Linked DNA regions of Rattus norvegicus. The protein of the gene in region 2 purifies or fractionates together with the protein of the main gene of each other region. This does not show direct contact. Links are inferred from orthologs where the notes say so. Each region holds a gene or a part of one and is shown on either strand. Other genes may lie near its edges.

Region 1 (3,489 bases), on a different chromosome or scaffold from region 2:
TATAATTTTATTAAGACAAAAACTGACAGTATGGTATGAAGTTTACACTTAAACAAAAAAATTTCACATACATCTTAACACATGCTGAAAAAGATTTTACAATGTAATTCTATTTGCAGGTCTAGACAATACTAAAAATTGATGGATCTCATGATTTAAGACAGTATTTTGGACATCAGTTAATCTGAAGATTTTGTATTCTCAAGTGAACCACTACCCCAATATGAAAGTTAATCTCCTGAGACCAGGGCTTGTGAAGTCATTCAATCCTTGAATAGACTCAATGGAATTTGTGCTGTCAGTAACTGAACCTGCCACAAGCAGTTTCAGGGTTCAAAGCTGAAAAAACAAAATAAAAAAAAAAAAAAAAAAAAAAAGAAAGAAAGAAAAAAAAAAAAAGAAAAAGCGAGAGGGGCTCCAAGAGTTTGCCCCCAGAGCAGAGGCTCCCCTCCTCCATCTCCCATAGGCCCTCCTGCAATACTTGAGCCAATGGCTTAGACGGACAAACTGATATTTATAACTTTGTAATTGGAAAAGGTTTTCTCCAATTTCAAGAATTAGCACCTCTGAGGCAGAGTGGTCTGCCTCTAATACTCTCCAATAAACTTTCCCTCTCCAGTCAGTTTCCATCATCAAATGGCAGCTTTGGTAACTCAGAACTGGCTTTGTCCTTTGTGGGCTACTTTGAGCTCAGGTTGGGAGCACCTTGGCTGTAGGTTTTAGGATTAACAGACTTTTCTTTTTTTTTTTTTTAAACAGTCTCTCATAGTCCTTATTTATGGTGCCAATGACAATTTTTTGAAAAGGCAAAATATTCTGGACATAGAACCAATTTATTAGTTAACTGTTCTACTGTTTCACCATTTCCCCAATCAGGCTCCAAATTTTAATCAAAATGATTCTACCCATCTCCCTTCCTCCCTGCCCCAACCCTCCCACCCCCAATTAATATACCAGTAATAGCCAAAAAACTACACACATGCTAGGCTGTAAAAATGCAGTTAACACTATTGGGAAGAAGGCAGTGGGTTGTGGAGATGCTCTTTGAAGATCGACAGTATCTTTGCTTTCCCACATCCCAGTTCTGCGGGTTCTGTCCTCCATGGAAGGCCTGTTCCTTCCTTAGTAAAGCGCAGAACAGAGCCTTGAAACACTTACCCTTTCCCCTCCCCTGGGATGGGTGTGCAAACTATACAGTGTGAACAATTTAAAGCACTTGGGCTGCTGCAGGACACAGAAACTATGCTGGCTCTTCAAAGGACATCTTCTCAAGCCACCTCAATGGTGTCAAGACAAGTACAGCTCCTTCCCTCCCCCTGGAAACCCACAGTCAGAGGTGACAGGGGCTGGTACTCAACAGGGCTAATTCTTGTCGTCTTTTTTGTCATCATCCTCTGAGGGGTAGGAATGCCACGTTAGCCTTTCCTCATAGAAGGATATGACAACCTGTGGGCACTTGACATTGGCTTCCTTGGCAGGGACCAGGTCAGCCTCATCAGAGTTTTTCCTGCAGAACAAAGCACAAAGAAACTTTGAAGTCAGCCATTGTGGTCTCATGTTTTGGACCACCCAGGGAATGGGGCTTTAAAGGCTAAATTCCATAAACAAATTAGGAAACAGGGTGCAAGCAGCATTTACTAGATATGTATTATCACATCATACAAAGATATTCCTGTTAAAAATCTCCCCCCCTCTTGCCTTTTCTCTGCTCTGGTGCCCTCTTCCCTGTCCCTTCTCGCCCCATCCTTCCCCCTTCCCTCCACATGCTCATGGCCAGCCTTTGTTCCTCCCCTCTTCTACTCTTCTTCTCTCATTAAACCTCTCCATGTGGGGGAAAAAAAAAAAAAAAAAAAAAAACTCCCCCCAAGGGCAGGTTGCTGTGAGTTCGAGGCCAGCCTGGTCTACGAAGTGAACTCCAGGATGGCCAGAGCTATACAGAGAAACCCTGTCTCAAAAACTGAAACAAAACAAAACTAACAAAAATCTTCTCTAAGAAACGTCGTCAAAAGGTAGGTCATCTGACTCAACTATTTCTTTAGAAAAGCCCCTCCCCCCAAAAGCTTAATTAGAATTTCAGAAGGTAAACAAGATTAAAATCTGGGAATAATATGCATTATAGGGAGTTAACTAGGAGGAAGCTCTATCCATTCATCTTCAGCTCACTGGGTCCGTCCCAGACAGAGGCAGCAGCGTGGGGCAGGACAGAATGTGACAAGGCCCCACCACAAACCTCCCAAATGTGACCATGAACAAGGGTTTAGAGCCACAGAGAACCACAGAATAAGCCCATATGATTAAGCCTCTATAAGAAACCACACCAAGATGGCTGGAAATGTACTTACAAAGTATCTAACACACTGCCCTATTTTAACAGAGATTCTGGAGTAAGTTTAAGTCTTTTCACTACATAGAAATATTTTCTATTTTCAGCAATGGACAGGTATTACCACTTTCCTGGAAAACCATGCAGCAAATTAAAAAAATTTTATGTGTACGTCTTTTGCCTATACATATGTATACAAATGTGTGTCTGATGTTAAGATTCCCTGGAACTACAGTTCTACAAGGTAGTGAACCACAATGTAGGCACAGGGAACTGACCCTGAGTCTTTTAGAAAAGAAGCCAGTTAACTGCTGAGCCATCTCTCCAGCCCATTTTTTTTTTAAGAATTATTATATTTTATGTATATGAGTACACTGTAGTGTACTTTAGCAACACCAGAAGAGGGCATCAGATCTCATTACAGATGGTTGTGAGCCACCATGTGGTTGCTGGGATTTGAACTCAGGACCTCTGGAAGAGCAGCCAGTGCTCTTAACCACTGAGCCATCTCTCCAGCCCCACATTTTTTTATTTTATTTTTTGGTTCTTTTTTTTCGGAGCTGGGGACCGAACCCAGGGCCTTGTGCTTCCTAGGTAAGCGCTCTACCACTGAGCTAAATCCCCAGCCCCTCACATTTTTTTTAATGTGCATGTATGTGGTACTAGAAATAGAAGCCAGAGCCATGTGTATTGTTCTACAGATACACAGACCCATGAGCATACATGTATCAGTCTGTGTCAGTGGTTCTCTACCTTCTTAATGCTGCAACCCTTCATACAGTTCTCATCTTGTGCTGACTCCTAACCAAAAAATTCCATTGCTACATCATAAATGTAATTTTTCTACAGTTATGAATTATAACATAAACATCCGATACTCAGGATATCTAATACATGACTCCTGTGAAAGGGTCATTTGGCCCTCAAAGGGGTCATGACCCACAGGTTGAAAACTGCAGCTCTATGTTGTTTTGGAGACCAGCTAGCCTCAAACTCACAGACAACCATTTGCCTCTGCCTCTAAGTATCGGGATCAAAGGTGTGCAACTACCACACCTAGCCATGTGTGACTTTTAAAAACTTGGGTAAAGTTTTACAATCAACACTCAATCTTTTGAGGGTGAGGGAGTGGGCGCTGAAGTTCAAACCATGAGCCTTGTACATGC
Region 2 (4,429 bases):
GTAAAAAATGTATACATTTAACTCTGAAAAAAAGGATTATATCCTATCTATTGTCTTTAAAGGGAGGGAGGGTTAAAAGAAGCCACAGATGAAAATACAAATTAGAATAAACTAGTCTTAGAAATGGAAAATGCAGAGTAAAAAAAAAGGTGGGGGGAGTTCGATTTGGTATGAGAGGAAAATGTAAGAAAGGAGTGAGGCTTATCTCAAATAGAGCAAATTACACATTTCTCCCTAAAGAAATCGATCAAAGCAAGGCATGCAGAAAAACTACTGAGAAATTCCGATTAGGCATCACTCTCTTAAATGTAGATGAAACAATAAACACCAGGGATTTTAGGAAGAAAAAGTTTCTATATAAAAGATAAAAAGATAGCAAAACAAATTAAAAGGATTCTAAGAAAGAGGTAGAGTAGAGAAAAGAAACGGGTATATCAGACATCAAAGAGTCAAAGTCTGAACAGGATAAAACTGAAATGGCTCAGTAGATAAAGGCATTTGCTGCTGAGCCTCATGATCTGAGCTCAATCCTCAAGACCCACTTGGTGGGAAAGAACTAAGTCCCACCAACTGTCCTCTGATCTCCCTCCCCAAATACCTTGACACATATATATGTGTACGCACGCGCACACATGCACATATGCACACGCAGAGCATAATGAACAAAGAGTAACACCTAAGGTGCACAAGCCAGAAGAGAGTAAGTCAGTAAGTAGGTCTAGAGTAAGTAAGTAGGATGGATGCAGGATACAGCATGTTAGGAGGACTTCTCTAGGAAACCAAAGATTAAAAATTAACTTTAAGATCACCTCTCAGGCCCAGGAGTGTTGTAGTGGTGGTGGTGCATGCCTTTAATTCCAGCAACTGGGAGACAGTTAAGTGGAACTCTGGAGTTCAAGGTTCTGGTTTACTATGCGAGTTCCAGGACAGATAGCCAAGGCTAACAAAGAAACCCTGTCTTGGGCAGGGGAGAAAAATTAAAAAACAAAACAAAGCAATAAAACGGGTTGGAACGGTCGCTCAGCAGTTAAGAGAAAGTACTACTCTTACAGATGGTCCACTCTATCTGGCAACTTCCTTTGAAATTTGTGAGCACTTGCACTTACACATGAACTTAAGTAACCCCCATTACACATAATTAAAAACAATAAAATAAATACACATATAAAAAGAGAGCTAAAACAAGGACTAGAGACACGGTTCAAAAGTTAAGCGCACTTACTGCTCTTCTGGAGAACCCAAGTTCTTCTATTCCCAACACCCATACTGGGTGGCTCACAATCCCCTGTAACTCCAGCTCCAATTCAATTCAATGCCCCCTTCTAGTAGTCTCTACCAGCACTGCTTTATGAAACTGGCAAGGCCAATTAAAGCCTTTCAGACTGTTTGAGTCTTTAATTACATGCATTTATAATTCAGGCTATAAAGGAGAAAGAAGAAATGCAAGAAGAGAGGGAGGCAGACAAAGAAGGAAAACAGTGTTAAGGGCCTCAACTAATATAACCATGTATATGACCAGCTATGTACATGAACATTAGTGGCACTTGTCCAGACATGAAGATAGTAAGACTACAAAAGATATTATCTGAAGTTCTATTTTAAACAATATCTTTATCATTTCTAAGTATTATTTCCTATTATACTAAAGAGTGCAATTTCTATTTTTTACTCAAAATTAGGACAACATTCTATCATGTTCTTAACAATATGGCCACAAATTTAATATGACCATTTATAAGAGGCCCAGAGCTTCTATCTTAAAACACAGAAGACGGGGTTGGGGATTTAGCTCAGTGGTAGAGCGCTTGCCTAGGAAGCGCAAGGCCCTGGGTTTGGTCCCCAGCACCGAAAAAAAAGAACCAAAAAAACCCAAAAAAACCAAAACAAACAAACAAACAAAAAAAAAAACCACAGAAGACATTAAGCTTAGCAATACTTTAATCCTGACTTTCTAGCTTCAAGAATTGTCCAAAAATAAAATTTTACCAAATGAAACCATCTAGTCTGTGATTTATTATGACAACCCAAGTAAAATAATATAGTATACAGCACACACATACACACATGCATGTATGCTCACACATACACAGACTCTGCTGTTGTTAATATATGAAAGACTATTAAGAAAAAGCTCTAAATCTTTTATAATTTTAATAAATGCTTATACAAGCATAGAAGAAATCTATATGATAATATATGCCAAACTGATAAACTATTAACATAAACAGTTAATAGAGATAAAATACTTCATGCCAGTTCATTTGTTACCTCAATAGTTCTATGGTTCTAAGATGTTCCCTATCTCTCACCCTCTATCATAAGTGGAATTATACACCACCTGCACATGAGCATCAGTTACTGAAGTAACATTTACCTTTTGGTTGAAAGGAACTGTCACCCATCAAGTTGTAGATCTGACTTTCTATACGTTGTCACCTAAGTATTGACATATGACATCAGTCAATTTTGAGTCATTTTAACTACAAATAAACCTGAAACTAAATTCTTGATAGAGGAGTTGAGGAGATAACATTGAGGTAAGAACATTTGTTTAACAAACAAGAAGACCTCACTTTGAATCCTAGCACATACATAAAAAGTAGTGGCCTTTAGCCTCAGTGTTGTAGGGACAAAGACAGTTCCATCCCAGTAGCTTGCTAGCTAGGCACTCTAGCCAAAACAGTGAGCTTCAGGCTCCGCGAAACACAGTTTGCATGAAGGGAGCAAAGCTGAGGGACAGGACAGGAAACCCTGTCTTTCTCGAACATCTGCCCAAACACACAGATGCACGTGCCTGCACTCACACACCAAAAACAAATACATAAAAGAAATTCTTGGATCAAATTTAAATATTTAAACTTACCATGTGACCACAAAAATCAGCAAGTTGTATCTCAGTTTGCCTTTCTAGAAAATAAAGATATCTACCATTAGGGCAGATGATATTAATGTATGTACATTTATATTTACCCTTTTTATAAAATAATCGGTTTATTCCTTAAGAATTCCAAATATCAGAAACAAAACTGTGATTATATCAAGTATTTCCTATTTCAGTAAATCTGACAAGTAAATAAAATAAAAATAATTATTTGTGACAAACGTGAAACATATCTATAATCTAGGTACTTGGGAGGCTGAGGCAAGAGGATCACAGGTTTAATACTTAGACTAAACAGGGAGAAATTGTCTCAAACAAATAAACAACAACATATAAATATATATTAATATATAAGTAACAGCAAAAAATTCCTCATAATGCACTGCTTTAGTAAATGTCACTGCCCAAATGCTAAATGATACTAATGTTGCCTATTCAAACTCAAAAATATCACTATTTCTATAATAAAACACAACTTTGACTTTATCAACTAACGAAAAAGAAAGCTCATCAGATTAATTCACTTAAGATAAGAGGTATTCCTAGTCAGCTAAGAGTAAGGTAATATGTTAAATTTTAGGTGAAAATAAAGATAGGTAAATAGCTTCCAATTAACCACACTTATAACTCATTGGTTCTCAATAAAAGTTACAATAAACATTACCAAAAGTTCACAATTGGCCAGGCATAATGGCACATGGGGCTGAGGCAAAAAGAATATCAACAAGTTCAAGGGCACACTGGGTTACATAATAAACTACAACTGGCTTTGGAGCAAGCCTGAAGACTTGAACTTGATTTCTGGAACTCACATGACCAAAAAAAACAAAACAAAACAAAACAAAAAACCCAAAAAAAACAAAAACAAAGACCTCATTCATGCAAGTTGTCTGCTACCTCCACCACATGTGTGCACAGGCATACACACACATAATAAATAAATAAATGAATTAATTAATTAACTAATATAAAAAGAAGTTAAGACTTCAAAAGTTATCTTTTGTACATTGAGAATAATATAAATTTATTTTATTAAATGTTTTAGCTTTTGTATAAATAAGATTAAATTATGCCTTAAAGGTTTCAATTGGTAACCAATGAAAAATTTAAATACCTGTAATCTCTTATTAATGTTTGGCAACTTTGAAATTCTAGAATAAAGAGAAGCTTAGGGGTAGAACGTTGGCCTACCACTCAGGAGGCAGTGGATACAATCCCCAATACTAAAAAACAAACAAACAAAAACAAAACAAAAAAGCCAAATCTCTTTACTATGAAAAATTGCCCAAAAAATGAGTTAAGAAAACTGAATTTATTGTAGCTGAGAATGAAGCTTGAGAGTAGAGTGCAAACTTAGCATATTCAAGACCTTGTGCTTGACTTCCCGCATCCTCCTTTCCTTTCAGCTTTTAATAGTAAGATAAACTTTGAAGTCACTACATTTCAATATAGTTTCAGACCACCAAGATGCCTCAGTGAGTAGAGAACTAGGCTATGTAATCCTGGCAACCTGATTTAAAGTGTAGAACTCAAGGTAGAGACAACTGA

Evidence for each region.
Region 1: the proteins of Zfp280d (region 2) and Cbx1 purify together in Homo sapiens (affinity purification with mass spectrometry; 4 studies listed by BioGRID and IntAct, with this or other methods). This does not show direct contact. The link is inferred for Rattus norvegicus from reciprocal best matches to the Homo sapiens genes ZNF280D and CBX1.

Annotation. Positions count from the first base shown.
Region 1 is NC_086028.1:82,283,676-82,287,164, reverse strand, and holds the end of Cbx1 (chromobox protein homolog 1), read right to left. Parts: intron 1,508-3,489; coding exon 1,363-1,507; 3' UTR 734-1,362; downstream 1-733. UniProt on the Homo sapiens protein: Component of heterochromatin. Recognizes and binds histone H3 tails methylated at 'Lys-9', leading to epigenetic repression. Interaction with lamin B receptor (LBR) can contribute to the association of the heterochromatin with the inner nuclear membrane.
Region 2 is NC_086026.1:81,885,393-81,889,821, reverse strand, and holds the start of Zfp280d (zinc finger protein 280D), read right to left. Parts: upstream 2,908-4,429; 5' UTR 2,864-2,907; intron 2,437-2,863; 5' UTR 2,403-2,436; coding exon 2,375-2,402; intron 959-2,374; exon of another isoform or gene 810-958; intron 1-809. UniProt on the Homo sapiens protein: May function as a transcription factor.